Linked DNA regions of Saccharomyces cerevisiae S288C. Changing the gene in region 1 together with any one later gene gives a genetic interaction. Each region holds a gene or a part of one and is shown in the gene's direction. Other genes may lie near its edges.

Region 1 (7,879 bases):
ATCAGCTAAAACGAAACATACAAAGGTGTTGCCTACAATAAAAGCAATTATAACTGAGAGAGGATTGGCAGGATTGTGGCAAGGGCAATCGGGCACTTTTATTCGAGAAAGCTTCGGTGGTGTTGCCTGGTTTGCAACCTACGAAATAGTTAAGAAGTCGTTGAAAGATAGGCACTCCCTTGATGACCCAAAAAGAGATGAAAGTAAGATATGGGAACTACTTATTAGTGGAGGGAGCGCTGGATTGGCATTCAACGCCAGTATTTTTCCTGCGGATACTGTGAAATCAGTAATGCAAACTGAACATATAAGCCTCACCAATGCGGTGAAGAAGATATTTGGCAAATTTGGACTAAAGGGTTTTTATCGAGGACTGGGTATAACCCTTTTTAGGGCAGTACCAGCAAACGCTGCAGTTTTTTACATCTTTGAGACTCTTTCTGCACTTTAAATACAATAAATCGTGTAATAAGCAAGTATGTAACATTGATAGACAGTCTGTAATACCATTTACTGATCAAGAATGTCGCACAATCTCAACAGCCAGGCTTTGTGTTAGTATTTTGTGTTTTTTACAACAACCTCTCGACTATTGTATACCAGTTTCTTGCATAGATGCTACTATTCTCTGACAGTAAATTATCTAGTCAGGACTTCGGATTTAACTAAATGCAAAAAAAAAAATGATTCGAATGTAAACAAAAAAAACTGTCTAGGTAGCAATGGTTCTTCTATAAAAGTGCAAGCTCTATAAAATCAAGATCAAGCATAGTACCGCCCACTGTTAGAGTCTTTGGTACGCAAACATTTTTGGCTACCGGATGTTGCGAAGAGAACTAAATAACTCTATCAGCAACAGGTCGATAGAAAATGAATCCTTTCCTTTTGAAAGGCCGAATGTCAGCTATATAATATCCGCAGAATTTGATAATAAATTAGGTCCTATTTTGAAGCACCAATACCCGAAAGATATTCCAGGTTTCAATCAGTTCTCACATGAGCAACGCAACGGCAATACGTCGGTGTCTATGAACTTGGCAAGTTTAATGATACCGAGTAGCATAGAGAGAAATCCCGGCAAACAAGATATTACAGTGTTTACCCTTTATTACAATAAGTTTACTCAAAACTATCAACTCTTTCCTGTGCCAAAAGACCCTCGTTTCAGTTTCAATCTGCATCATCGTGAACAGTCAGATGGTAGTGTTACCAATAGCATATATTACGATGCCGAAAATCATCAAGATGCAAAAAATAATAGATACACTATTGTCTTGGAAGATGATGAGCTCGAATGCCAGGAAGTTCAGAATAATCAGAAAGCCATCGACAACGAACCTTTATTTTTCATAAATGTCGCCAACACAGTATTAGACACCACGAACGATAGAGGGGCAGTAATCAAGTCGATTGCCATCGGAACACCATTAAAAACCTTCTTTGCATTCAAAAATATTATTGTATTAGTGTTAGACTTGTATATGAAAGCTCCCACTCAAGCTGCTGCTACAGACATACTGCTTGATTGCTTTAATATGCTAAACAGTATTGACCTTACATTGATTAATGACATACATTCCAAAAGTAGTATACAAGAAGTGCTACACTCTATCCATGACGAATCTATCATTACCAAAGTATTTTTAGACCCGGATTCCACTTTAAAGAAACTCTTTTGCATCAATGGATTTGACACTAAGGACAAGTATGGTAACATTGTGACTTTTCATGACCAACTCATTCAATATCATTTTACAAGATTTCAGCCAAAGACGCTCCCGCCATTTTTGTTAAAAATCCCATTGCAATTTAATATGATTAGAAGAGAGCCTATTTATATTGAAAATGATTATAATGAACTAGTTTTAAAATTTTTGGATAAATTTGTCCCTTACCTTCTTAAAGCCGGACAAAAAGTTAATGCATGGAAGTTAGTCATCAATTCAACTAAACTGAGTAAAGAAGACCTATGCGCTTTTATTTTGTCATTAGCCAACATAACGGCAACTTATGCTAGCGATCCACAATCATACTTCAAAGGAAATGCTGCGTTGATTTTTCCCTATATGGACATTTCTCTTGTTGACGGTTTGCGGGCGTATGTAGCATCGAATAGTGATTTTGTCGGATGCTTTGCAATTATCGGAACTGCCAATCCAATTTTCCGATACCAGTTAGATATCTGGGATTATTACTACGATGTGGATGAGGGAGTGTTTTATGAAAATAATAGTCCAGAAAAAGAAAAGCCAGATACAGTGGCAGAAGTGAAGATTGGGCCTAACCCTTTGAGAAAGATATTCAATAGGCCTCATTTCTCAACCAACGCAGTCAACGAAAGTCAGGTAAACTTGGGCCAGAAGCTCTTTTCTCTTCTTATCGACGAATATCATGATAGTGATACTATCATGAGCGTTTTGAGAAGGCTGAATGTTCTTCAGTTGGAAAACCTTCTGGACGCTTTGAAAAGACGAGAAATTCCACCTAATATAGCACTAAAAGATGAATATATCATGTTTTATAAAGATTTTTTCATTTTCCCGGAGTTCTTTGATTATTTTACACTGCATAGTATTGAACTATTGTCTAACTTGGATAATTGTTTATTTAGCTTAGGAAACACATGCCAGTTATTTTCCACAGAGCAAATATATTCCCAATTAAGCCAAATATTGGACATTGTTAAAGAGCTGTTTCGCATGGTATCGGTAAGCAGGACAAACATTGAGAAGTTTTTAAACGCTTGTTTGAACTATTCTCCGTTCAAAATATTACCCACAGCTCAGTTACACGGTGATAATATTTCTAGGTGGAGTTTTGAAAGCGAAGTGCGTCAGGGTTTCGATAATTTTAACAGCTATATGGGCATCGAAAAAGATCCCCACGGTGTTATAGTATCAGCAATAGATCTTTTTACTCAAATTTACAGTTTTGATATCTTGGCGTTTTTCCTCACATTTATTACAAAAGAAAGTGGGCAGGATTTGCCCTTCACAAAATCTCTGTCCAGGAGAAGAACGTATTTGACCAGAATTGCTCAATCTTCTTCATTGAGACAGTTTTTACAACTGAGTACACGCCCTAATATAAGGATTCTGGGAGGTAATGGGCAGGGTACTGGAAATTCCAATTATCCCGAATTTACAAACGCATCCTCAGTCATCTCACCCAAGCTAAGGGCTTCTCCTCTACTAGAAAGAAGGGCGTCAAAAATCTGCTATGCTATTACGAAATTACTCTATAGGTTAGAATGTCATCCCATAGGTATGGCCCTTTTAAAGAAGTATCTCCACAATCAATTGCGAGAAGCCTATCTAGAATCAAAACGACACTTTATTTCCAAAAAGGGAGATTCGACCAACACTTCCTCTACCATTGCATCATCATCTTTCGCTGGCGCATCTGTTCCTCTATCTTCAAACGAATCAGGAATGCTAAACGGCTTGAAGCAAATTAACGAACAACAAGAATCTACATTAGAAACCACTCAAAAGGAAGACTAGTAACGCCGTATCGTGATTAACGTATTACATAAGTTACAGGATTCATGCTTATGGGTTAGCTATTTCGCCCAATGTGTCCATCTGACATTACTATTTTGCATTTTAATTTAATTAGAACTTGACTAGCGCACTACCAGTATATCATCTCATTTCCGTAAATACCAAATGTATTATATATTGAAAGCTTTTGACCAGGTTATTATAAAAGAAACTTCATGCTCGAAAAAGATCATTTCGAAAAGTTGCCTAGTTTCATGAAATTTTAAAGCAGTTTATATAAATTTTACCTTTTGATGCGGAATTGACTTTTTCTTGAATAATACATAACTTTTCTTAAAAGAATCAAAGACAGATAAAATTTAAGAGATATTAAATATTAGTGAGAAGCCGAGAATTTTGTAACACCAACATAACACTGACATCTTTAACAACTTTTAATTATGATACATTTCTTACGTCATGATTGATTATTACAGCTATGCTGACAAATGACTCTTGTTGCATGGCTACGAACCGGGTAATACTAAGTGATTGACTCTTGCTGACCTTTTATTAAGAACTAAATGGACAATATTATGGAGCATTTCATGTATAAATTGGTGCGTAAAATCGTTGGATCTCTCTTCTAAGTACATCCTACTATAACAATCAAGAAAAACAAGAAAATCGGACAAAACAATCAAGTATGGATTCTAGAACAGTTGGTATATTAGGAGGGGGACAATTGGGACGTATGATTGTTGAGGCAGCAAACAGGCTCAACATTAAGACGGTAATACTAGATGCTGAAAATTCTCCTGCCAAACAAATAAGCAACTCCAATGACCACGTTAATGGCTCCTTTTCCAATCCTCTTGATATCGAAAAACTAGCTGAAAAATGTGATGTGCTAACGATTGAGATTGAGCATGTTGATGTTCCTACACTAAAGAATCTTCAAGTAAAACATCCCAAATTAAAAATTTACCCTTCTCCAGAAACAATCAGATTGATACAAGACAAATATATTCAAAAAGAGCATTTAATCAAAAATGGTATAGCAGTTACCCAAAGTGTTCCTGTGGAACAAGCCAGTGAGACGTCCCTATTGAATGTTGGAAGAGATTTGGGTTTTCCATTCGTCTTGAAGTCGAGGACTTTGGCATACGATGGAAGAGGTAACTTCGTTGTAAAGAATAAGGAAATGATTCCGGAAGCTTTGGAAGTACTGAAGGATCGTCCTTTGTACGCCGAAAAATGGGCACCATTTACTAAAGAATTAGCAGTCATGATTGTGAGATCTGTTAACGGTTTAGTGTTTTCTTACCCAATTGTAGAGACTATCCACAAGGACAATATTTGTGACTTATGTTATGCGCCTGCTAGAGTTCCGGACTCCGTTCAACTTAAGGCGAAGTTGTTGGCAGAAAATGCAATCAAATCTTTTCCCGGTTGTGGTATATTTGGTGTGGAAATGTTCTATTTAGAAACAGGGGAATTGCTTATTAACGAAATTGCCCCAAGGCCTCACAACTCTGGACATTATACCATTGATGCTTGCGTCACTTCTCAATTTGAAGCTCATTTGAGATCAATATTGGATTTGCCAATGCCAAAGAATTTCACATCTTTCTCCACCATTACAACGAACGCCATTATGCTAAATGTTCTTGGAGACAAACATACAAAAGATAAAGAGCTAGAAACTTGCGAAAGAGCATTGGCGACTCCAGGTTCCTCAGTGTACTTATATGGAAAAGAGTCTAGACCTAACAGAAAAGTAGGTCACATAAATATTATTGCCTCCAGTATGGCGGAATGTGAACAAAGGCTGAACTACATTACAGGTAGAACTGATATTCCAATCAAAATCTCTGTCGCTCAAAAGTTGGACTTGGAAGCAATGGTCAAACCATTGGTTGGAATCATCATGGGATCAGACTCTGACTTGCCGGTAATGTCTGCCGCATGTGCGGTTTTAAAAGATTTTGGCGTTCCATTTGAAGTGACAATAGTCTCTGCTCATAGAACTCCACATAGGATGTCAGCATATGCTATTTCCGCAAGCAAGCGTGGAATTAAAACAATTATCGCTGGAGCTGGTGGGGCTGCTCACTTGCCAGGTATGGTGGCTGCAATGACACCACTTCCTGTCATCGGTGTGCCCGTAAAAGGTTCTTGTCTAGATGGAGTAGATTCTTTACATTCAATTGTGCAAATGCCTAGAGGTGTTCCAGTAGCTACCGTCGCTATTAATAATAGTACGAACGCTGCGCTGTTGGCTGTCAGACTGCTTGGCGCTTATGATTCAAGTTATACAACGAAAATGGAACAGTTTTTATTAAAGCAAGAAGAAGAAGTTCTTGTCAAAGCACAAAAGTTAGAAACTGTCGGTTACGAAGCTTATCTAGAAAACAAGTAATATATAAGTTTATTGATATACTTGTACAGCAAATAATTATAAAATGATATACCTATTTTTTAGGCTTTGTTATGATTACATCAAATGTGGACTTCATACATAGAAATCAACGCTTACAGGTGTCCTTTTTTAAGAATTTCATACATAAGATCACTTATTATACATACATACATATCCAGTAACAAGAAGCAAGGAATAATTACCTGCTTAAGTCTGCGATTAAAAAAATAACGTTTCGATACAGTTCATATAAGGCGGCTCAATGCAGAACCGAGGATAGCGCTACGTCAGGATATCTTTGTAGTTCCCAAATATAAATGCGACAATATAGTTTCTTTCTTTCATATCAATAATATCCTTTTCTCCACTGAAATCACGAATCAAACCTGGAGCAAAAACTAAAGCCAAATTATAAAGCGTCATTCGATTCCAGTGACTGTACCGTGTAACCTTTTCTATATGTTCACTCAGTACTCTTAACACCCTATAATGTTCCCTTGGAAGGTCTTCCAATATGTTTTTTAAAGCGCTCTTGCTCGACATATAAGTGTCCGAATTCTTTGCTTCTAAGGACAACTTTCCTCCAACAAATGGCAAGTTTTCCATCATTTTTTTAGATTTAACTAACCTCATCAACGGCTCGTATATTTGAAAGGTAAAGATAGGGTTGGGGAGCTTTCTTAAGTATCGCTTCAACACACCAGTAACAACGTTGAGATCTTGTTCCGTTAAAATATTTGGCGTTTCGGTATTTTGTTGTACTTTCCATGCAGAAAATTGCTTTTCTATTTCTTCTATGACTAGCTGGGAACCTGATTTTCTATAAATGCCCTCCGATCTCATATTTTCTTCGTCTGATTCAATAAAATCTATGCAGACAGATAGTATCATCGGTATTTCATTGTTTTCATAATTGCACCTAGCAACGAGACTTGAACCATACAAATTGCTTCCATCCAAATATTCTTCTCCATCTTTACTTTGTCCCATATTTGCATCGTTCTCGATAGGTACTAATCTAACGTCACTAAATTCATTAGGATTTTGTAGCACAGGTGGTGAAATTTCTAAACGGCCGGAATTACTACCAGATGAGGGAGCAGAAAGCAAAACTGGGGCACTTTTAACGATGGAATTTGTATTATTTGTACTGACACCTTGTATAGATTGCTCGGTCTGTGGCTTTGCAGATGAAAAAAACTTCCAAAATTTTGGTTTAACAGAACTTCGCGCTACAGAACTTGCAGTTGCAACATGTTTCACGGGTGGCGACTCACCTAAGCTGATTTCATTTATCATCGGTGGATTATTTGATAATTCATTGGAGTCAAGATATAGTTTATTTTTCTCGCTATTATAGGATTCAATATGTCGGCGTAGAGCCTCTTTCATAGACTTCATTTCAGTGATCTCTTTCATTAATTCTTCCCTTTGAGATTCAAGTTCTTTCAAATTTATTTTTAATTGCTTCAGATAGTGCTCTGCCGTGACAATTTCTTTATCAAGCGAGGGATCGTTTCTAGATTCGCTATTTTCGTAAAGTGTTTCCTTCTGTTCCTCAAAATTGTCGCTATTCTCCAATTGGGTCTTTGGAGTTTTCTGCCAACTAGGTATGCTATAATTTTGGTTACTGTATGAAGACCCATTCCGCCTATCAAATGTCAATGAGCTATCTAAAGGCGGAGTTCGATACATGGATACATTACTTGGTGTAGCTGGCGATTGTAACAAATGATCAATTGGTGACGGAGATTTAAAACTGTGATTCTTCTGTTCTTCAAGGGCGGTTTCCTTTCCACTAGTCACCCTAAGAGTGCCATTATCGGTAAATCTTTTATAGTTTAGGCTTTTTTGATTATTCACCAAAATATCTAAAGAAGTGCTGTTAGAATTTGGTGTGTCAAGGCCGGTATGTGAATCATTATCCCTCATTAAATCTTGTGAGCGTCTAGATGTCACTTTAGAAGCAGGTGAA
Region 2 (7,634 bases), on another chromosome or scaffold:
CAAATATAGACTAGCGAACCTGATGAATGCCCAACCCTCAGTGAGACATGTGTCGAGCGAGATCCAGCAAAAGGATCAGCAGGCAGGAGAGTCAAACACCGCCACCGATACTGGTGTTATTCACAAATCAGATGAAGAAACTCTGATATATTTCGATAATGTTTACGCTAGAACCACCTCGGTTTGGAATCCAACACTGTGGTACAATCTCCTGCTAAGAAACCAGTCACGGGATGCAGTGAGGGAGAAAATAAGGAATTTAGCCAGTCCACCCAATAACCCCATTTATGGACTGGAGTTGAAGTCTACCATTCCAGTGAAAAGGGATGGTGGTGTATTTGCCACATTTGTCGTTCCACCCAAGTATACAAAAGCTCAGGTAAATTCTCTAATCCAACAGAATACAGCCAGAGAATCCTCTAAAAACTTACTCTCGTACTTCACTCGAGCTTCTGCCTTCCCAGTAAAGGGTTCGCCTTGGATTGAGGATTTAAGAAGACTACCAAGTACCACTATAGTCATCAAGTTCCAAGGGCCCGCCTTAACAGAAGAAGAAATATACTCTTTATTCAGAAGATATGGGACAATTATTGATATTTTCCCTCCCACTGCTGCTAACAACAATGTGGCAAAGGTAAGATACCGTTCATTCCGTGGTGCCATTTCTGCCAAGAATTGTGTTTCCGGTATCGAAATTCATAATACCGTCTTACACATACAATACGAAAATATCAGAAGAGGCCATCTAGTTAGTAATTTTTTCACCAACCATACAAGGATTGCTATTCCAGTTTTATTTGCGCTACTTTCAATCTTTGCTGTTTTAGTGTTTGATCCTATAAGAGAATTTTCGATTGAACAGAAGATCACTCACAAATATTCTTTATCGTGGGACAATAAGTTTTGGAAACAACTGAAAACGCTAACCTCATCTACCATGACTTCTATCAAGTACTACTGGGGCGGCCCTGATGATAATCACCAAAGAAAGCATTTATGGGAGGAAAGAATAGAGAAAGTGAATGACCTGAAAATGTGGCTTGAAGAAAATAATAATACTTTTGTGGTTATAAGGGGGCCTAGAGGTTCAGGGAAACATGATTTGGTCATGCAACACACTTTGCAAAATAGAGCAAATGTTTTGTATTTGGATTGTGATAAATTGATTAAGTCCAGAACAGATCCTATGTTTTTAAAAAATGCCGCTAGTCAATTGGGTTATTTCCCAATATTCCCATGGATTGACTCTGTCACAGGTGTCCTTGATTTAACAGTGCAAGGATTAACAGGGCAAAAAACTGGGTTGTCTGAGACGAAGGAATCTCGGTTTAGAAACATGTTAACTACCTCATTGATGTCCATTAGACGTATTGCTCTCAAGAATTACAAGGCTTTTGTTTCCACCGGTGATGGGACAGTTAATGTTAAGGAAGAAGATTACCTACAGCAACATCCGGAAGCTAAACCCGTTATCGTCATAGATAGGTTTGAGGGCAAGTCGGAAATAAATGGATTTGTGTATAAGGAACTATCCGATTGGGCAGCTATGCTAGTTCAAATGAATATTGCTCATGTGATTTTCTTAACGGAAACCGTTGCATCCAACCAAAGATTGAGCGAATCACTACCCAATCAAGTCTTCAAAAACCTAATCCTATCAGATGCCTCAAAAGAGAATTCGAGGAACTATGTATTATCCCAATTGGAGGATTACTTATATTACAATAAAAAATCCAAGGGTGAAAACGTAAAAGAACCTGAATCAGAAAAGGAAACTGCTGAAAATAATGATTCTGATAGTGAGGCCGATACGAGTGTCAAAAAAGCTGAGGTTATTTTAAATGAAAAGGAATTACAGGAAATTGACGCTTCTTTAGAGCCATTGGGTGGTAGGATGTTAGACTTACAGGCATTTGTAAGAAGGGTAAAGTCAGGAGAAGAGCCCTCGGAAGCAGTAGACAAAATGATTGAACAGGCTTCTGAGCAAATAACTCAAATGTTTTTAAGTGACAAGATTGACAGCAATAAAAGTGCACAAGCCTGGGAATTAATCGAATTATTGAGTGCGAACCCAGTCATTCCATTCCATGAAATCGTTAACAAGCCATTATTCAAAGCCGCACCAGAAACGGGAATCATGGAATTGGAGAATAATGGTTTAATAACTGTATCTAGAGATAGGGGTGTTTTACAGGAAATCAGGCCTGCCAAACCGCTATACAGGGCAGCATTCACATACTTGATCAACGATCCTGAACTCGCAAAAGTGCTAAAAACCCGTTACTTATTAAAGGTTGTGGGTTTTGAAACTGGTAGAATCAAGAAATGGGAAGAAGAATTAAAACCTTTGGGGAAAGTTCCTGATCAGAAACTTTTCAAGACCAGATTGGACTATTTATCCGGTAAAATCAATGCCAGTAATGCAGTCATTACCAAATGTGAAGAAGAAATTAAAAACCTATCTAAGTGATGAAACAAAACTTACTATTCTGCTTTTCTGTACATATGTGTAAACCCTATATTGCTATACTCATCTATATTCTTTTGAAAATGTATAAAAGTGACGATTGGAGATGGTGCAATTTTCTACGCAGCATGAAAAATATCTAAGGAAGGTAAGGTACATACCAAGTAAGTCTTATAATATGTTGTTGTACCTCACTTTACCATTCTTAAAGTCTTTAAAAGAAATTACCTTACCCAATTTGCACAGCAAAGGTCACTGACCTATACGTGCCCTTCATCAGATTACATCACGTGAAATTTCACTGGGAAAGAGCGCGAGGGCTTTCCGATGACTTTCTACATTAATAATCGCAAACAAAGCAATCAGCACAGCAAAGAGTACAATTTCGAAAATTGCGACAGAGCAACGTAAGTATATCGTTGTTGATAGATTCCACTCCAACCTGCAAATGCTGCTTCTTCCAAGATGTCCTGTAATTGGGCGAATTGTAAGATCAAAATTTAGATCTGGTCTAATCCGGAACCATTCGCCCGTTATATTTACTGTGTCTAAGTTATCAACCCAGCGGCCTCTGTTATTCAATTCAGCTGTGAATTTATGGAATCAAGCACAAAAGGATATTACGCACAAAAAATCCGTCGAGCAATTCTCGTCGGCTCCAAAAGTGAAGACTCAGGTAAAAAAGACCAGCAAGGCCCCAACCCTCTCGGAACTGAAAATCTTGAAAGATCTATTTCGCTATATTTGGCCCAAAGGCAACAATAAAGTGAGGATAAGGGTACTGATTGCCCTTGGACTGTTGATATCCGCCAAAATTTTAAATGTTCAAGTACCTTTTTTTTTCAAGCAAACTATTGATTCAATGAATATAGCATGGGATGATCCTACAGTCGCCCTTCCGGCAGCGATTGGATTAACCATTCTTTGCTATGGTGTTGCAAGGTTCGGCTCTGTTTTATTCGGCGAACTGAGGAACGCCGTATTTGCCAAAGTGGCACAGAATGCCATTAGAACTGTGTCGCTACAAACTTTCCAGCACCTTATGAAGTTAGATTTGGGATGGCACTTGAGTAGACAAACGGGTGGTCTGACGAGGGCCATGGATAGAGGTACAAAGGGTATATCTCAAGTGTTAACGGCCATGGTATTCCACATTATCCCTATAAGTTTTGAAATATCTGTCGTTTGTGGGATTTTGACGTATCAATTCGGTGCGTCATTTGCCGCAATAACATTCAGTACAATGCTTTTATACTCCATTTTCACTATAAAGACGACCGCATGGAGGACACATTTTAGAAGGGATGCTAACAAGGCCGATAACAAAGCTGCCAGTGTGGCTTTAGATTCTTTAATTAATTTTGAGGCGGTAAAATACTTCAACAATGAAAAATATCTTGCAGATAAGTATAATGGCTCCTTGATGAACTATCGTGACTCTCAAATTAAAGTATCGCAATCTCTAGCATTTTTGAACTCCGGCCAAAATCTAATTTTTACTACTGCCCTAACTGCAATGATGTATATGGGTTGCACCGGCGTTATTGGTGGCAACTTGACAGTTGGTGACTTGGTTCTAATTAATCAGTTGGTTTTTCAACTATCAGTACCGCTAAATTTTCTTGGTAGTGTTTACAGAGATTTAAAGCAGTCTCTGATTGATATGGAAACGCTATTTAAGTTAAGAAAAAATGAAGTCAAGATTAAAAATGCCGAACGTCCCTTAATGCTTCCAGAAAATGTTCCCTACGATATTACTTTTGAGAACGTCACGTTTGGATATCATCCCGATAGGAAAATTTTAAAGAATGCCAGCTTTACCATCCCAGCAGGCTGGAAAACCGCAATAGTTGGGTCTTCGGGCAGTGGGAAGTCCACCATTTTAAAATTAGTCTTTAGATTTTATGATCCTGAAAGCGGAAGGATCCTCATAAACGGTAGAGATATTAAAGAATATGACATCGATGCCTTGAGGAAGGTGATTGGTGTGGTACCACAGGACACACCACTTTTCAATGACACTATCTGGGAAAATGTAAAGTTCGGTCGTATTGACGCAACCGACGAGGAAGTGATAACTGTAGTTGAAAAAGCCCAGCTAGCACCCTTAATCAAGAAATTACCACAAGGTTTTGACACCATCGTCGGGGAGCGAGGGTTGATGATCAGCGGTGGTGAAAAGCAAAGGCTGGCAATTGCAAGGGTACTATTGAAGAATGCAAGGATCATGTTTTTTGACGAGGCCACAAGCGCCTTGGACACACACACAGAACAAGCTCTCTTACGAACCATTAGAGATAACTTTACTTCGGGTTCGAGAACGAGTGTATACATCGCACATAGACTGAGGACAATTGCAGATGCAGACAAGATCATAGTCCTTGACAACGGAAGAGTAAGAGAGGAAGGTAAGCATCTTGAACTGTTGGCTATGCCAGGGTCATTGTACCGCGAACTTTGGACCATACAAGAAGATCTGGATCATTTAGAGAATGAACTAAAAGACCAGCAAGAACTATGAACGCTCGTAAGTAAATATTGATTTATACATGTATAAGTTTTTCAAGATTTAAGGAAAAAAGAAAAGTTATTATCTTTCTCCGCGGTTTTTCAATGACCCGATGTATTGACTCTTCCTGACCGAAAATAACAGGACAGAGTTAGAACGAACATGAATAATAAAATATAATCTGGGATCATGAATCCGAATGACTGCTCATGCGGCAAATGTCAGAGCTTCGGTGTATTTAAAGTTTGCTTACTTACAATTTCAATAATAGGTTTGTACTTTTCAGATTCTTATTATTAAGTCAAGGTAAAGTCCTTCGTTTTTTTTTTTTTCATTTTAGAAAAATTTCAACAGCCACCGTACAATTTTATTCACTTTTAAGTCATAGTTGCGAAGACATCGTCTTGAAAGTAGTAGATTTCGTTCTAATAAGTTTAGCAAAGAAAGAGGTACAGCAAACAGCAGAATAGAAAAAATGTGTGGTATTTTAGGTATTGTATTAGCAAACCAAACCACTCCAGTAGCTCCGGAGTTATGTGATGGATGCATTTTTCTACAACATCGTGGACAAGATGCAGCTGGTATAGCTACCTGTGGTTCTCGTGGTAGAATCTACCAATGTAAAGGTAATGGTATGGCTCGTGACGTATTTACCCAACAACGTGTTTCCGGTCTTGCTGGTTCCATGGGTATTGCCCACTTGAGATATCCTACAGCCGGGTCTTCGGCTAATTCAGAAGCGCAACCATTTTACGTCAATAGTCCTTACGGTATTAACTTGGCACATAACGGTAACTTGGTGAATACTGCATCATTGAAGAGATATATGGATGAAGACGTTCATAGACATATTAACACGGACAGTGATTCGGAGTTACTATTGAATATTTTTGCTGCTGAACTGGAAAAACATAACAAGTACAGAGTTAACAATGAAGATGTTTTCCACGCGTTAGAAGGTGTTTACCGTTTATGCCGTGGCGGTTATGCTTGCGTTGGTTTACTTGCCGGTTTTGCATTATTTGGTTTCAGAGATCCAAATGGTATTAGGCCATTATTGTTCGGTGAAAGAGAAAATCCGGACGGCACTAAGGACTATATGTTAGCTTCAGAAAGTGTTGTTTTCAAAGCTCACAACTTTACTAAATATCGTGACTTAAAGCCTGGCGAGGCAGTTATCATCCCTAAGAACTGTAGCAAAGGTGAACCTGAGTTCAAACAAGTGGTTCCTATTAACTCTTATAGACCTGATTTATTTGAATACGTATATTTCGCCAGACCGGACAGTGTCTTGGATGGAATATCAGTTTATCACACAAGATTGGCTATGGGTTCTAAATTAGCGGAAAATATTCTAAAGCAACTGAAGCCAGAAGATATTGATGTTGTTATTCCCGTCCCAGATACTGCAAGAACATGTGCACTAGAATGTGCTAATGTGTTAGGGAAGCCTTATAGAGAGGGCTTTGTTAAAAACAGATACGTGGGCAGGACATTTATCATGCCAAACCAGAGGGAAAGGGTTTCTTCAGTAAGGAGGAAGCTTAACCCTATGGAGTCTGAATTTAAGGGTAAGAAGGTTCTGATAGTGGATGATTCTATTGTCAGAGGTACTACTTCAAAAGAGATTGTTAACATGGCCAAGGAATCCGGTGCAACAAAGGTTTACTTCGCTTCAGCTGCCCCAGCCATTCGTTACAACCATATTTATGGTATTGACTTAACAGACACAAAGAACTTGATTGCTTATAACAGAACCGATGAAGAAGTGGCGGAAGTAATCGGTTGTGAAAGAGTCATTTACCAATCATTGGAAGATTTGATTGATTGTTGTAAAACTGATAAAATAACCAAATTCGAAGATGGTGTATTTACCGGAAATTATGTCACTGGTGTTGAAGACGGTTATATTCAAGAATTGGAAGAAAAACGTGAATCGATCGCAAATAATTCATCAGATATGAAGGCTGAAGTCGATATCGGATTATATAATTGTGCAGATTATTGATAGATTGTTCCGAACTTGTTCAGTTGTATGTAAAATAGTTTCCAAATGCGCCCATTTATACATAATTATCTTTGTATTCTGACCTAAACTAAATATATATATATATATGCACGTATTAAAAAAAAAAATAAAAGCAAAAAGGTAAACAAAGAGAAGTAATCCGCAACTTGTACAAAAAGAAAAGAAGATAAAAGAATTGTATGTATTAATGGATAATTGTAATGCCTGGGACAAATTATTGTCTCAGAATGAATCCACAATCAACAGCACAGAGACTGCTACGATAACAGCAATCATATATTCCCCATCAAGTAAAACACTGCATCAATTTATAAATATCTGTTTTCCAGAGGGAAGCAATTCAATACTGGATACCACTTTGATTAATTACGCCACCATAGGATGGACCAACGACTTAAAGGAAAATTATTCTGTCGATGTTTACACGCTAATAAGAAACACTGACGATGCACTAGATCTTCTAAAGCCGTTTTTACAAGAACATAGTTCGAAGGTTCGCTGGCTCATATTATTAGATTGGACACTGAACGACCAAAAGTTGTGGCTGAATGAACTATCCTACGCATTCAATAAAATTAAGCAACTGAATGACGATAATGAATTTTCTGTATGGTGCTTAAACAGTGGCG
Region 3 (10,695 bases), on another chromosome or scaffold:
ATGATACCGTTGCAAGACCACTGTCCCGAATCCACCTACGAAGAAATTGATGAGTTATTTAAAGAAGATCTAGGCACCAGCATTGAGGATATGTTTTTAGAATTCAACAAAACCCCGATAGGTGTAGCTTCCTTGGCACAGGTTCATGTGGCAAAACTAAAAAATAGTGACGGTAAAGGTTCTAGTGTAGCTGTCAAATGTCAGCATCCATCGTTGAAGGAGTTTATACCATTAGATGTTATGCTGACAAGAACAGTGTTTGAACTGCTGGATGTCTTCTTCCCTGATTATCCGTTAACGTGGCTTGGTGATGAGCTTCAGTCTTCAATCTACGTGGAACTGAATTTTACCAAAGAAGCTGAAAATGCAGAAAAAACCCGTCATTATTTTAGTAAGTTCAAGAAGCAAACAGCATTGAAAATACCCAAGGTCATTGAAAGCCACAAAAGAATTTTGATTATGGAATATGTTGGAGGCAAAAGGTTGGATGATTTGGAGTACATTGACAGTCACGGTATCTCGCGCAGTGAAGTTTCGAGTTGTCTCTCTCATATTTTCAATAACATGATTTTTACTCCCAATGTAGGTATTCATTGTGATCCTCATGGAGGAAATCTGGCCATACGATCTGTTAAGCCCGCTAAAGATAATGGATACCATAACTTTGAAATTGTTTTATTTGACCACGGACTCTATAGATATCCTAGCACGAGAACAAGAAGACTTTATGCCAAATTTTGGTTGTCGCTCCTATTCGACAAGGACCAGACAAAAATGAAGAAGTATGCCAAAGGATTCGCAAACATCACCGACGAACAGTTTCCCCTTTTAGCGGCTGCAATTACGGGCCGTAGCATTGATGCTGCTTTGAATTACGACATTTCAACGAGTCGAACACAAGAAGAAATGGACGTCATGGCAAATGGGATCTTGGAAGGAACGTTACTGAGCGACTTGATGAGCATTTTGTCTAGAATCCCTCGTGTAGTGCTTTTGATATTGAAGACTAACGACCTAACCAGACATCTTGATGAATGTCTACAGAATCCACTCGGGCCAGAGAGGACTTTCCTGATCATGACGCAATACTGCGCCAAGACGGTCTACGACGAAAAAGTGGAAAGAATTAATTCGGAGTATGCGAGGTGGTCTATTAAATGGATGTGGGAGAACTTGACAAACTGGATAGTCTATGAGAGGCGTATTAATCAATTGTATTTTTATGATTTTGTGTTGTGGTGGAAAAAATTTATTCCGAAGACTTGGTTGTCATCTTAAATCGTTAGCGTTCTTTCTACTTGTAAATATATACGTAAAATTATATATAACAATTTTATATGTGTCATTAAACGGAAGACGTTGTTGCTATCACAGTGGATTGTGTTATTTGGGTATTTGGAATATTACAGTGACTTCTTGCAGCGTTGTTAGTTTTTGCCATGTTCTGCAAGTACAAGGTTGAAGATGTGGTCGAGACTTTGATAGTATCCTTAAACAACTTCATTTTTTTATTTTGACTGGGTAACGACCTGGTGTTCCTTCTAGTCTCACCGCTAGTGGCTTCTTCTTTGCTGACTCTTAACTTTTGCAGCGCCTCTTTGGTGTCGAGTAACTCGTGTTCCAGTAGAACGTTGCGTTCCAGTCGTCGGTCACTCTCCAATTGTAATGTCTCTATCTTATTCCTCAGTTGGATATTTTCATTTTCCAACTCATCTACCTGTATCTCTAAATCTGTTATCTGTTTCTTATTGCACTTATTTTGTTGTTGGCTCTCAAGAAGATCGCTTTTTAACTTTGATATTACTTGTTCCAAATCATTTTCATATTCTTTCGTGGCGCCTTCAAGCTCGCTCAACTGGGTCTCCAGTGAGGAGATTATCTGTATAGCTGTTTCCAAATCCAAATTCGGCACCATAGGAAAGTCGCAATTGTTGCACGTATATGTCCCTTGGATATTCCAATTAAATTTGCGAGGATTGTTCTTTCGGCCGTTCGTGGTTTGTTGTAGCCCTTATTATCCCTCTTTTTCATCCTTAATTGCAAATTTATGTATGAAAACTTTCATTTCTAATGTTATTAATTTTCCCGATTCTGCAAACTAATTGATAAAATAATTGATACTTGCCGTCACAGATGATATAGAGAACGTTCAGTTTTTTTATTGTTCTATTGTAAAAAAAAAAAAAAAAGGAAGAAAAAAGCAAGATCCGATAGGAGAAGACCTCTTTAGCGGCTTTACTGCGCTACAAATAAGGTTACGAATATGCGGAATAGTTCATGATACGTTGTTGAGTTATAGTATGTAGCCAATATTTCCTGTTTTTCCGCTGTTACCCTTTTCGAAGGATCGATGAACGCTTCTGTCACTTAGTAAGCAAATGTACGAAACCCAGAGCATTGTATGTACACCAGCAGTCGTTTTTTGTAGCTCTTTTCCATGGATGGACGATGATGGCAAGACGCGATCGTGGCGGAGCCTCACTAAGAAAAACAATTGTGGAGAATCTATACACACAGAAATCGTACTTCAAGAAATATTGATTAGCGAGCCTTTAAGCACAGAACAATCTCTATAGCCAACATCTTGTGGAAGCTACAACTGTTTTTCTTGTTCCCGCTTGAGTAGGGCCTTACAAGGCAAGACCGTATAAAATAAAGATAACTCCTCCGCCGTATCCTGAATTTCGTGTGCCCTTTCTCTCTCTCTCTCTTCCTCTTTCTTCCTTTCCCTTTCCCTCTTCTTCTTATCTCAACAACCGCCCAGCGCATTAGCAAACCACAGTACGAGCTGTACGGCTGAGCCACTGCACCTGTCTGGCTTGCCCCTTTTTGTTGAGTAACCGGGTAATAATTCGGCTGTCTAAACGATACAATCCTCGTTCCACCCACACCCATTCACCCGTCGGGCGAAATCCACCCTCGCGGCCTCGTTTAGAATACCAGGCAACGGCACCAGCAACGGCCCCGGTAACTCGATCGCGTTCATATATATCGGATATACTCTTGAGGCACAATTTTTTTCGGTTTTCGGTTTTTTCTATTATTCTTCGAGATGCAAAGCACACATTTGAGACTCACAACTCAAGATACCGCAAGCACACAGACGCTATTGTTCTCCCAAAGAATAGGTTCCTGCAGTGCTCTTTTAAGGTTTGAAGATATTGCACAAAATTGTATCTGATTTCATCTCATCGAACCTCATTCCATCAACTTCCTTTTATCAAAGCATCTTGTTTTGTTTTCGCAGAAAATTTTTCTTCCCTTTCAATTTGGCCTTTTAGTTTTTCTCCAGTCGCAGGCAAGAAGGTAAGGAAATAGAAGAAAAAGAAAAAAAAAAAAAGGGAACAATAGGTTAGATGTCGAATACCCCTTATAATTCATCTGTGCCTTCCATTGCATCCATGACCCAGTCTTCGGTCTCAAGAAGTCCTAACATGCATACAGCAACTACGCCCGGTGCCAACACCAGCTCTAACTCTCCACCCTTGCACATGTCTTCAGATTCGTCCAAGATCAAGAGGAAGCGTAACAGAATTCCGCTCAGTTGCACCATTTGTCGGAAAAGGAAAGTCAAATGTGACAAACTCAGACCACACTGCCAGCAGTGCACTAAAACTGGGGTAGCCCATCTCTGCCACTACATGGAACAGACCTGGGCAGAAGAGGCAGAGAAAGAATTGCTGAAGGACAACGAATTAAAGAAGCTTAGGGAGCGCGTAAAATCTTTAGAAAAGACTCTTTCTAAGGTGCACTCTTCTCCTTCGTCTAACTCCTTGAAAAGTTACAACACTCCCGAGAGCAGCAACCTGTTTATGGGTAGCGATGAACACACCACCCTTGTTAATGCAAATACAGGCTCTGCTTCCTCTGCCTCGCATATGCATCAGCAACAACAGCAACAGCAGCAACAGGAACAACAACAAGACTTTTCCAGAAGTGCGAACGCCAACGCGAATTCCTCGTCCCTTTCTATCTCAAATAAATATGACAACGATGAGCTGGACTTAACTAAGGACTTTGATCTTTTGCATATCAAAAGTAACGGAACCATCCACTTAGGTGCCACCCACTGGTTGTCTATCATGAAAGGTGACCCGTACCTAAAACTTTTGTGGGGTCATATCTTCGCTATGAGGGAAAAGTTAAATGAATGGTACTACCAAAAAAATTCGTACTCTAAGCTGAAGTCAAGCAAATGTCCCATCAATCACGCGCAAGCGCCGCCTTCTGCCGCTGCCGCCGCTACCAGAAAATGTCCTGTTGATCACTCCGCGTTTTCGTCTGGCATGGTGGCCCCAAAGGAGGAGACTCCTCTTCCTAGGAAATGTCCAGTTGACCACACCATGTTCTCTTCGGGAATGATTCCTCCCAGAGAGGACACTTCGTCCCAGAAGAGGTGTCCCGTTGACCACACCATGTATTCCGCAGGAATGATGCCGCCCAAGGACGAGACACCTTCCCCATTTTCCACTAAAGCTATGATAGACCATAACAAGCATACAATGAATCCGCCTCAGTCAAAATGTCCTGTGGACCATAGAAACTATATGAAGGATTATCCCTCTGACATGGCAAATTCTTCTTCGAACCCGGCAAGTCGTTGCCCCATTGACCATTCAAGCATGAAAAATACAGCGGCCTTACCAGCTTCAACGCACAATACCATCCCACACCACCAACCACAGTCCGGATCTCATGCTCGTTCGCATCCCGCACAAAGCAGGAAACATGATTCCTACATGACAGAATCTGAAGTCCTCGCAACACTTTGTGAGATGTTGCCACCAAAGCGCGTCATCGCATTATTCATCGAGAAATTCTTCAAACATTTATACCCTGCCATTCCAATCTTAGATGAACAGAATTTCAAAAATCACGTGAATCAAATGCTTTCGTTGTCTTCGATGAATCCCACAGTTAACAACTTTGGTATGAGCATGCCATCTTCATCTACACTAGAGAACCAACCCATAACACAAATCAATCTTCCAAAACTTTCCGATTCTTGTAACTTAGGTATTCTGATAATAATCTTGAGATTGACATGGCTATCCATACCTTCTAATTCCTGCGAAGTCGACCTGGGAGAAGAAAGTGGCTCATTTTTAGTGCCCAACGAATCTAGCAATATGTCTGCATCTGCATTGACCTCGATGGCTAAAGAAGAATCACTTCTGCTAAAGCATGAGACACCGGTCGAGGCACTGGAGCTATGTCAAAAATACTTGATTAAATTCGATGAACTTTCTAGTATTTCCAATAACAACGTTAATTTAACCACGGTGCAGTTTGCCATTTTTTACAACTTCTATATGAAAAGTGCCTCTAATGATTTGACTACCTTGACAAATACCAACAACACTGGCATGGCCAATCCTGGTCACGATTCCGAGTCTCACCAGATCCTATTGTCCAATATTACTCAAATGGCCTTTAGTTGTGGGTTACACAGAGACCCTGATAATTTTCCTCAATTAAACGCTACCATTCCAGCAACCAGCCAGGACGTGTCTAACAACGGGAGCAAAAAGGCAAACCCTAGCACCAATCCAACTTTGAATAACAACATGTCTGCTGCCACTACCAACAGCAGTAGCAGATCTGGCAGTGCTGATTCAAGAAGTGGTTCTAACCCTGTGAACAAGAAGGAAAATCAGGTTAGTATCGAAAGATTTAAACACACTTGGAGGAAAATTTGGTATTACATTGTTAGCATGGATGTTAACCAATCTCTTTCCCTGGGGAGCCCTCGACTACTAAGAAATCTGAGGGATTTCAGCGATACAAAGCTACCAAGTGCGTCAAGGATTGATTATGTTCGCGATATCAAAGAGTTAATCATTGTGAAGAATTTTACTCTTTTTTTCCAAATTGATTTGTGTATTATTGCTGTATTAAATCACATTTTGAATGTTTCTTTAGCAAGAAGCGTGAGAAAATTTGAACTGGATTCATTGATTAATTTATTGAAAAATCTGACCTATGGTACTGAGAATGTCAATGATGTAGTGAGCTCCTTGATCAACAAAGGGTTATTACCAACTTCGGAAGGTGGTTCTGTAGATTCAAATAATGATGAAATTTACGGTCTACCGAAACTACCCGATATTCTAAACCATGGTCAACATAACCAAAACTTGTATGCTGATGGAAGAAATACTTCTAGTAGTGATATAGATAAGAAATTGGACCTTCCTCACGAATCTACAACGAGAGCTCTATTCTTTTCCAAGCATATGACAATTAGAATGTTGCTGTACTTATTGAACTACATTTTGTTTACTCATTATGAACCAATGGGCAGTGAAGATCCTGGTACTAATATCCTAGCTAAGGAGTACGCTCAAGAGGCATTAAATTTTGCCATGGATGGCTACAGAAACTGCATGATTTTCTTCAACAATATCAGAAACACCAATTCACTATTCGATTACATGAATGTTATCTTGTCTTACCCTTGTTTGGACATTGGACATCGTTCTTTACAATTTATCGTTTGTTTGATCCTGAGAGCTAAATGTGGCCCATTGACTGGTATGCGTGAATCATCGATCATTACTAATGGTACATCAAGTGGATTTAATAGTTCGGTAGAAGATGAGGACGTCAAAGTTAAACAAGAATCTTCTGATGAATTGAAAAAAGACGATTTCATGAAAGATGTAAATTTGGATTCAGGCGATTCATTAGCAGAGATTCTAATGTCAAGAATGCTGCTATTTCAAAAACTAACAAAACAACTATCAAAGAAGTACAACTACGCTATTCGTATGAACAAATCCACTGGATTCTTTGTCTCTTTACTAGATACACCTTCAAAGAAATCAGACTCGAAATCGGGTGGTAGTTCATTCATGTTGGGTAATTGGAAACATCCAAAGGTTTCAAACATGAGCGGATTTCTTGCTGGTGACAAAGACCAATTACAGAAATGCCCCGTGTACCAAGATGCGCTGGGGTTTGTTAGTCCAACCGGTGCTAATGAAGGTTCTGCTCCGATGCAAGGCATGTCCTTACAGGGCTCTACTGCTAGGATGGGAGGGACCCAGTTGCCACCAATTAGATCATACAAACCTATCACGTACACAAGTAGTAATCTACGTCGTATGAATGAAACGGGTGAGGCAGAAGCTAAGAGAAGAAGATTTAATGATGGCTATATTGATAATAATAGTAACAACGATATACCTAGAGGAATCAGCCCAAAACCTTCAAATGGGCTATCATCGGTGCAGCCACTATTATCGTCATTTTCCATGAACCAGCTAAACGGGGGTACCATTCCAACGGTTCCATCGTTAACCAACATTACTTCACAAATGGGAGCTTTACCATCTTTAGATAGGATCACCACTAATCAAATAAATTTGCCAGACCCATCTAGAGATGAAGCATTTGACAACTCCATCAAGCAAATGACGCCTATGACAAGTGCATTCATGAATGCTAATACTACAATTCCAAGTTCAACTTTAAACGGGAATATGAACATGAATGGAGCTGGAACTGCGAATACAGATACAAGTGCCAACGGCAGTGCTTTATCGACACTGACAAGCCCACAAGGCTCAGACTTAGCATCCAATTCTGCTACACAGTATAAACCTGACTTAGAAGACTTTTTGATGCAAAATTCTAACTTTAATGGGCTAATGATAAATCCTTCCAGTCTGGTAGAAGTTGTTGGTGGATACAACGATCCTAATAACCTTGGAAGAAATGACGCGGTTGATTTTCTACCCGTTGATAATGTTGAAATTGATGGTGTTGGAATAAAAATCAACTATCATCTACTAACTAGTATTTACGTTACTAGTATATTATCATATACGGTGTTAGAAGATGACGCAAATGATGAGAAATAGTCATCTAAATTAGTGGAAGCTGAAACGCAAGGATTGATAATGTAATAGGATCAATGAATATTAACATATAAAACGATGATAATAATATTTATAGAATTGTGTAGAATTGCAGATTCCCTTTTATGGATTCCTAAATCCTCGAGGAGAACTTCTAGTATATTCTGTATACCTAATATTATAGCCTTTATCAACAATGGAATCCCAACAATTATCTCAACACCCACACATTTCTCATGGTAGCGCCTGTGCTTCGGTTACTTCTAAGGAAGTCCACACAAATCAAGATCCGTTAGACGTTTCAGCTTCCAAAACAGAAGAATGTGAGAAGGCTTCCACTAAGGCTAACTCTCAACAGACAACAACACCTGCTTCATCAGCTGTTCCAGAGAACCCCCATCATGCCTCTCCTCAACCTGCTTCAGTACCACCTCCACAGAATGGGCCGTACCCACAGCAGTGCATGATGACCCAAAACCAAGCCAATCCATCTGGTTGGTCATTTTACGGACACCCATCTATGATTCCGTATACACCTTATCAAATGTCGCCTATGTACTTTCCACCTGGGCCACAATCACAGTTTCCGCAGTATCCATCATCAGTTGGAACGCCTCTGAGCACTCCATCACCTGAGTCAGGTAATACATTTACTGATTCATCCTCAGCGGACTCTGATATGACATCCACTAAAAAATATGTCAGACCACCACCAATGTTAACCTCACCTAATGACTTTCCAAATTGGGTTAAAACATACATCAAATTTTTACAAAACTCGAATCTCGGTGGTATTATTCCGACAGTAAACGGAAAACCCGTACGTCAGATCACTGATGATGAACTCACCTTCTTGTATAACACTTTTCAAATATTTGCTCCCTCTCAATTCCTACCTACCTGGGTCAAAGACATCCTATCCGTTGATTATACGGATATCATGAAAATTCTTTCCAAAAGTATTGAAAAAATGCAATCTGATACCCAAGAGGCAAACGACATTGTGACCCTGGCAAATTTGCAATATAATGGCAGTACACCTGCAGATGCATTTGAAACAAAAGTCACAAACATTATCGACAGACTGAACAATAATGGCATTCATATCAATAACAAGGTCGCATGCCAATTAATTATGAGAGGTCTATCTGGCGAATATAAATTTTTACGCTACACACGTCATCGACATCTAAATATGACAGTCGCTGAACTGTTCTTAGATATCCATGCTATTTATGAAGAACAACAGGGATCGAGAAACAGCAAACCTAATTACAGGAGAAATCTGAGTGATGAGAAGAATGATTCTCGCAGCTATACGAATACAACCAAACCCAAAGTTATAGCTCGGAATCCTCAAAAAACAAATAATTCGAAATCGAAAACAGCCAGGGCTCACAATGTATCCACATCTAATAACTCTCCCAGCACGGACAACGATTCCATCAGTAAATCAACTACTGAACCGATTCAATTGAACAATAAGCACGACCTTCACCTTAGGCCAGGAACTTACTGAATCTACGGTAAATCACACTAATCATTCTGATGATGAACTCCCTGGACACCTCCTTCTCGATTCAGGAGCATCACGAACCCTTATAAGATCTGCTCACCACATACACTCAGCATCATCTAATCCTGACATAAACGTAGTTGATGCTCAAAAAAGAAATATACCAATTAACGCTATTGGTGACCTACAATTTCACTTCCAGGACAACACCAAAACATCAATAAAGGTATTGCACACTCCTAACATAGCCTATGACTTACTCAGTTTGAATGAATTGGCTGCAGTAGATATCACAGCATGCTTTACCAAAAACGTCTTAGAACGGTCTGACGGCACTGTACTTGCACCTATCGTAAAATATGGAGACTTTTACTGGGTATCTAAAAAGTACTTGCTTCCATCAAATATCTCCGTACCCACCATCAATAATGTCCATACAAGTGAAAGTACACGCAAATATCCTTATCCTTTCATTCATCGAATGCTTGCGCATGCCAATGCACAGACAATTCGATACTCACTTAAAAATAACACCATCACGTATTTTAACGAATCAGATGTCGACTGGTCTAGTGCTATTGACTATCAATGTCCTGATTGTTTAATCGGCAAAAGCACCAAACACAGACATATCAAAGGTTCACGACTAAAATACCAAAATTCATACGAACCCTTTCAATACCTACATACTGACATATTTGGTCCAGTTCACAACCTACCAAATAGTGCACCATCCTATTTCATCTCATTTACTGATGAGACAACAAAATTCCGTTGGGTTTATCCATTACACGACCGTCGCGAGGACTCTATCCTCGATGTTTTTACTACGATACTAGCTTTTATTAAAAACCAGTTTCAGGCCAGTGTCTTAGTTATACAAATGGACCGTGGTTCTGAGTATACTAACAGAACTCTCCATAAATTCCTTGAAAAAAAAATGGTATAACTCCATGCTATACAACCACAGCGGATTCCCGAGCACATGGAGTCGCTGAACGGCTAAACCGTACCTTATTAGATGACTGCCGTACTCAACTGCAATGTAGTGGTTTACCGAACCATTTATGGTTCTCTGCAATCGAATTTTCTACTATTGTGAGAAATTCACTAGCTTCACCTAAAAGCAAAAAATCTGCAAGACAACATGCTGGCTTGGCAGGACTTGATATCAGTACTTTGTTACCTTTCGGTCAACCTGTTATCGTCAATGATCACAACCCTAACTCCAAAATACATCCTCGTGGCATCCCAGGCTACGCTCTACATCCGTCTCGAAACTCTTATGGATATATCATCTATCTTCCGTCCTTAAAG
Region 4 (6,491 bases), on another chromosome or scaffold:
TTGACGTTCAAGAAGGTTCAGATATGGAGACTTCTTACTTCTTGTGTAATGCTTTCGTCTCGTGCCATGCCTGCGCTAATGGAACTATATAGTATTTATGACAGGTCCTCACAGTTGGAGCGAGGGCATTTTGGTCCCGGTTTGTCCAATAGACGAGGACCGATGGTAACAGTAGACTATGCCTACTACCTGTGCTTTTGTATACTAGCCATCACTACGGCCACTACAATCATTTATGGGTCCTACTACCCTGTTGTGCTCACCTCTGGGTTCATATCATGCATTACATATACTTGGTCGATCGACAATGCCAACGTGCAGATCATGTTTTATGGTTTGATTCCTGTTTGGGGGAAGTACTTCCCCTTAATTCAATTGTTTATCTCTTTCGTTTTTAATGAGGGTGATTTCGTAATCTCATTGATCGGTTTTACTACAGGGTACCTTTATACATGCTTAGATACCCATACACTGGGGCCAATATGGGGGATGATATCCAGAAAAGCTGATCCAACCTACGGAATCTCGCCCAATGGGAAATTCTCAACGCCATGGTGGTTTACTAGTCTATATGCTCGCATAACGGGTGCCCACAATGAAACTGCAACATTCAACAACAACTTTGCCAATGTGCCATCTTCGCAAAGAGAAACGAGAACTTTTAGTGGAAGAGGTCAACGATTGGGTACGGCCCCTGCAACATTGTCTCAAACCAGTGGCACAGATTCAGGCAGAGCTTCTGGAAGTCAATTAAGAAGTGGCCCATCGAATTTGAACCAATTTCAAGGCCGCGGCCAACGAGTAGGACAAACAAACAGCCCCTCCGACTCACAATAACAACTTTTATCTATTTCTATGTACTTTGCCATTCATTATATACATCAAGAGAGTCTGACATAGTATTTTCGTTGGCATAGCAACCGATTGATAATGAAACATCACTCAAGACGAATTGACAAATGGGCCACTATGGTAAAACAATTCTTTACATGATACCACCAGTATATAGAAAGGTTCTCGTGTTGATGAATTATATAAGAAAGTGAAAATCGATTTCAAGATAATTACTCTTTTTACCTCCTCTTTCATTGTGGTCACCGTTTTTGAACACAACATGCACCAAGATTTTCAAGAAGACGAGCATGAGTATCCAGACATCAGACGCAATCCGCTGCATGAGGTGACCATGACTTCCTACATACTGGGGATTCTTTTAGGTATATTTGTTGGTCTTTTTCCACAAATTAGATTCAAGAATTTTAACCTCTTTATTATTGCCCTGTCCTTATTCCATTTTTTGGAGTATTATATTACAGCTAAATACAATCCTCTTAAGGTACATTCAGAGTCCTTTCTTCTGAACAACGGCAAAAGTTACATGGCGGCACATTCCTTTGCTATTCTGGAATGCCTCGTAGAAAGCTTTCTTTTTCCTGATCTGAAAATTTTTAGCTACTCTCTAGCTACCAAGCTTTGTACAGTACTTGGATGTCTTCTAGTTATTCTGGGACAATATACCAGAACTATTGCTATGCATACTGCGGGACATTCCTTTTCTCATATTGTGAAGACCAAGAAGGAGTCCGATCATGTTTTAGTGAAAACTGGCGTTTACTCCTGGTCAAGACATCCAAGTTATCTTGGGTTCTTTTGGTGGGCAATTGGCACTCAGCTACTGCTTCTAAATCCCCTATCATTGGTTATTTTCATTTTTGTACTTTGGAAATTTTTCAGTGATAGAATTCGTGTGGAAGAAAAATATTTGATAGAGTTCTTTAGCGCGGAATACATAGAATACAAGAATAAGGTTGGTGTCGGAATACCTTTTATATAATAGTAATGATTGTGTTAGTTATGGACTGGATTTTTGTGTTATGTAAGATTTTATCTAATCTTGTGCATCTGTATTTGGTAGGTAATAAATGCTAGGGGAATGCAAACAGTGATATTGCCTTTGAGTATTGAAAAGAAGAAAATATTTCTTTTTCGAACGGAAAATTATAGAAAATGAAGGTCATATGCACAATTACAAAGAAAATATTTCATGAAAGAGCTGGACGGAACCGTCCAATTTTAGCCTCGTTTTTAACCACTGTTGTATTTCTTTCCATAATCTTGCGTTTTCCATGTACCCATTATGGGTGAAGTTGAGGATGTATTAGAAAGTTGTCTTTTTTGGGGCAGTACATTAGAGTAAGGCCTCCTTGGAATGAATGGATTTACAATGAGTCTGGACTTCTGCAACGGTATGGTTGCAGTGTTGGGAGGATTGGGGACACTGTTTTCATTGTTTATCAAAGGAAGCCCAGACTTGTTAGAGTTTGTACGAATTGGGACGTTCTGGGGCAACGTGGGAAGTACAGGCGTAGAATTTTGTCGCCCGACGTCATTCCTCGTGATTGCTTCTGTTGTTGGTAGAGAGTTATTCCTTTGATCAAGCCCATTATTCGACAAAATAGTTGCCCCACGCAATGTTGAATCAGGGAATCTTGTGGTATTCAAACGTGGATCATTAAATCTTGAGTTCACGGTGGAAGGAAAGGACATATCCATATTCTGTTCACGTGGTGGAAAAACTGAAGATTCTTGAGGCTGGACAAATGAATCTGATATCGATGCAGTATAACTGTTGGAATTTATGGGAGGCCTTATTGTTTTATCGGGAACAGTGGATCCCCTGGGATCTAATGAACTCATTCTTATTAAGGGAGGGGTACTGAGAGCGCTCGAACTTGCATTTGAAGCGGTGTTTCTTGGCGTTGGGGATGATACGCTAACATCTGGAGAGATTAAGTGGGATGAATTATCAACAGCAGTCACATTTAAAGGCGTTTTTCCCAGAATGTTCGGCAATTGTTTACCAATATAACTGGAACTGTTTCCGAGGTACTCAGGAATAACCCTGTTTGTCACCGGAGTAGTAGTTTCTGAAGCAACTATGTTATAACTTTTTGGATCCAGGGTTCTCGAGGGTGCACTTGAACCTTTTTCAGTTAGAATATCTGTATTAGTACTTTTAAGGTGATTGCTAGTTATTTCCGCCATAAGTCGATCATCATCATCGTCATCATTATCGTTCATTAAATTTTTAGTATGATTATGACTGGGAGTATTACTGCGACTACCATGATCATGTTTATTATTACTATTACTATCATTATTTTCGATACTATTATTATTATCATTATTATTATTATTGTTATTATTATTATTATTATTATTTTTATTATGACTATCATTATTTTTGATACTATTATTATTGTTATCATTACTATGCCTGTTGCTATCATCATGATTATTAGTAACATGAGGATTATTTCCATTTGGTTCGTCATCATCACTATCGAGATTTATGATAATCGGTTCACTTGGATGTGAAGAAGAACAATGATGATCCGATACTGAAGTACCTTTTTCTGGGCTTCTACTACCATCATTGCTGTCACTGTCGCTGTCATCATCGTCTTCCAATATGGCTGTCCACTTACCATCAGAAGTAAGTTCTACCTGTTCAACGTTTTTTTGACAGTTCTGTAAAATGTCATCAACAAATTCGGAAATTGCTAAATTTTCCAAAGCTATATCAATTTGACATACTGGGCATTGCCACGTAGGAATTTGTAGTTGGGAGTGTAGGAACCATAATGCATCAAAACATTGCAGATGCTTACAATTTATTGATTTTGAAGGGTATTTCATTCTTGTGTACGAAATTGGACATTGCAGACTCATGATAGTAGATGTGGTAGTCAAGCCCATTTCTTCATCCTCCCGAAGTGTTTTTTTCAAGTAAAGTAACGTGGCTTGTTTAATAATTTTTGGATGCTGTAATACTTTTTCCAGGAGTTGCTCCGGAGTGATCATTTCTACAATGTACCCAAATAGCTTGTATTCCTTCGTGGTGAAGGCATATATCAGCTCCACATTGTTTTGTTGAGTATAAGGTTTGAGATGAGGCGTTAAATCCGCCGGCTTAGCTGTGCCCGGCTTACTCTTGAAACCTCTTATATTATCTTTGATTTGAACATTATTGCACCTTAATTCATTTGGGAATGGAAATTGGATGGGTTCATTACCTCGGGATCCTAATGGATTAATCATCCCAGAAAATAAGTATAGCCTGTGTTTGCTATTCGGGTTACTTAATAGATTATAGTCTGCTTTGGACAATTTAAATTTCGCAGAGCACATACCTCTTCCGCCTGTGACTTCCACGTTCATCACTAATTCAGGGATTAGCCTTTGTATTTTGTAAAATGGAGACTCTTTAAAATGAATTGTCGGTACAGCAAAAGATGATGAAGAAGAAGAGGCATCTGGATTTGTAGGTGGTGGTGCACGAGATGTGGAAGATGTGGTAGACGTTTTCCGCCGTTGAGTGGGAGACTGCCTAATAACGGAAGGTGATTGCTGCTGCACCGTGGGAGGCCCCTCCATAGAACGTACTGTGATAGCACTCAATGGGGTACCCTTTCTTAAAGCGTTCCAAAGATCTTTATAAACAGGCAAAGGTTCATTCTTTCTGATCCGTTCTATCAGAAATTTAACGGCTTGAACTCTATAAGGATCAGACTTGCCTACTACTAAAGCGTTCTGCAAGAAATTCCTGATAAGGTCCTGTAGAACGGCCTTGCGACCGGAAACCGGGAAAGATACAGACCTGCAAATATCCTTCAATTCGGACACTTTCAGCAGTTCCATCAGAGTGATGGTTTCCTCCACCTCGTTTCTTAGTTCATTAGTCGGTTCCCTATCAGGCCCAGGCGTTTCATCTTCCCAGTAATCCTCTAAATTTATCATTGAAACAGAATGTATATGGAACACTCAACTGTTTGAGTTGGAGTCTTCTTTTCTTGTGAAATATGGATGAACTCCACTTCATTCTTTCATATTCATATTAAAGATGATACACTTTTCAACTTACTATCTGGTGCGGTGAATGGGTGTATACATTGACTACAGCTCAGGTGACATCTAGGGGCCGTTTAGTGTAAGAATATAAAGTACAATCCAAAAAGGAAAATTATACTTGTTTAAGAAAAGAGGAACCTTCTGCTCGCTCTAAAATGGTAGTTCTAGTGATAGTTTAAAAATGCATTTTCCTTCCGACTTCGAAGATAGATTTCAGCATAAAGACTAAAAGCGTCAGCAAGGATTCGAATGAGTGACTCGTTGCTAGTGACTCTGACCTGTTTTTTATTCCAGCAAGAGGAAAGTTATATAGAGTAGTTTATGAAGAGAAGACACTTCTAAAGTTGAATAACGCTCCTAGCCTCAAGGTTGATGATTTAACTTGCAGCAAGCGCAGGTGAGAGCCAACACACATCAATAATCTTTCCAAAAGCTATGGCCAGAATTGTCGTATTAATTTCGGGCTCAGGTTCCAACTTGCAAGCCTTGATCGATGCCCAAAAGCAGGGCCAATTAGGCGAGGATGCTCATATTGTCTCTGTCATATCTTCCAGCAAGAAGGCATACGGGTTAACTAGGGCAGCGGACAATAATATCCCCACAAAGGTTTGTTCGCTATACCCATATACAAAGGGTATTGCGAAGGAGGACAAAGCCGCAAGGGCCAAGGCAAGATCCCAGTTTGAGAACGACCTCGCAAAACTAGTGCTCGAGGAAAAGCCTGACGTTATCATCTGCGCGGGCTGGTTATTGATCCTTGGATCTACTTTCTTGAGCCAACTGCAATCTGTGCCGATATTAAATCTGCATCCAGCGCTACCAGGTTGTTTCGATGGTACCACACACGCAATTGAAATGGCATGGCGCAAATGTCAGGACGAGAACAAGCCTCTGACGGCCGGATGCATGGTGCACTATGTCATCGAGGAGGTCGACAAGGGTGAGCCATTGGTGGTAAAAAAGCTAGAAATCATACCTGGCGAAGAAACACTAGAGCAGTACGAGCAAAGGGTACACGATGCTGAGCACATCGCGATTGTAGAAGCTACATATAAGGTTTTACAGCAGCTTCACAAATAAGAATAGTTCCCATATTTATACTTTTATATTTGGCATTCTTCAAAGTGAGGCGCGAAACATCTCGCGTCGTAAATCATGATCATGGATTGTGACAAAACGATCTTAAAGGTTTCGAATAAAATGTGTGTAAATACGTATACTTATATATGAATGTGCATGTGTAAACGCTTAATCGTGTTATTGCAAAACTAAAATCAGGCCAGATTGTAGTTTAAACGGTTCTAGTATAACTGGTTTAAGGTGCGGCTCACAACCTGTTACAGGGAGACAAAAACCATGAATATTCTTAAGCATTTCCCAAGCTATGTTGGCCCATCTAAGATTAGGACCTTAGTGATACCAATTGGCCATTGGACGCGAAAAGAGTTTAATAATGCGGTACAGAAACTTTCTGAATTCAACGAAATTCATCTGTCTGATGTAACCCCCATTGACAGCCCTATCTTCACACCGCAAGGCTTTCCACATGGGAAGTTATTTTTCGACTTCTTGACCATAGA

The links.
Region 2: of ADE2 (region 1) and ADE4, changing one suppresses a phenotype caused by changing the other (phenotypic suppression), as found in Saccharomyces cerevisiae (2 studies listed by BioGRID).
Region 3: of ADE2 (region 1) and HAP1, changing one enhances a phenotype caused by changing the other (phenotypic enhancement), as found in Saccharomyces cerevisiae (one study listed by BioGRID).
Region 4: of ADE2 (region 1) and ADE8, changing one suppresses a phenotype caused by changing the other (phenotypic suppression), as found in Saccharomyces cerevisiae (one study listed by BioGRID).

The regions. Positions count from the first base shown.
Region 1 is NC_001147.6:562,501-570,379, reverse strand, and holds ADE2 (phosphoribosylaminoimidazole carboxylase ADE2), read left to right. Parts: upstream 1-4,188; coding exon 4,189-5,904; downstream 5,905-7,879. Other genes in the region: ORT1 (Ort1p), read left to right, coding at 1-451; AFI1 (Afi1p), read left to right, coding at 822-3,503; GTPase-activating protein RGA1, read right to left, coding at 6,187-7,879.
Region 2 is NC_001145.3:864,909-872,542, reverse strand, and holds ADE4 (amidophosphoribosyltransferase), read left to right. Parts: upstream 1-5,451; coding exon 5,452-6,984; downstream 6,985-7,634. Other genes in the region: YME2 (Yme2p), read left to right, coding at 1-2,470; ATP-binding cassette Fe/S cluster precursor transporter ATM1, read left to right, coding at 2,916-4,988; DYN3 (dynein light intermediate chain), read left to right, coding at 7,193-7,634.
Region 3 is NC_001144.5:643,059-653,753, forward strand, and holds HAP1 (Hap1p), read left to right. Parts: upstream 1-3,356; coding exon 3,357-7,865; downstream 7,866-10,695. Other genes in the region: CQD2 (Cqd2p), read left to right, coding at 1-1,278; NDL1 (Ndl1p), read right to left, coding at 1,346-1,915; YLR255C (uncharacterized protein), read right to left, coding at 2,542-2,895; YLR256W-A (gag protein), read left to right, coding at 8,059-9,381. UniProt on the Saccharomyces cerevisiae protein: Regulation of oxygen dependent gene expression. It modulates the expression of Iso-1 (CYP1) and Iso-2 (CYP3) cytochrome c.
Region 4 is NC_001136.10:1,287,715-1,294,205, reverse strand, and holds ADE8 (phosphoribosylglycinamide formyltransferase), read left to right. Parts: upstream 1-5,346; coding exon 5,347-5,991; downstream 5,992-6,491. Other genes in the region: DFM1 (Dfm1p), read left to right, coding at 1-837; STE14 (protein-S-isoprenylcysteine carboxyl O-methyltransferase), read left to right, coding at 1,115-1,834; SUMO ligase SIZ1, read right to left, coding at 2,086-4,800; TRAPPII-specific subunit TRS120, read left to right, coding at 6,268-6,491.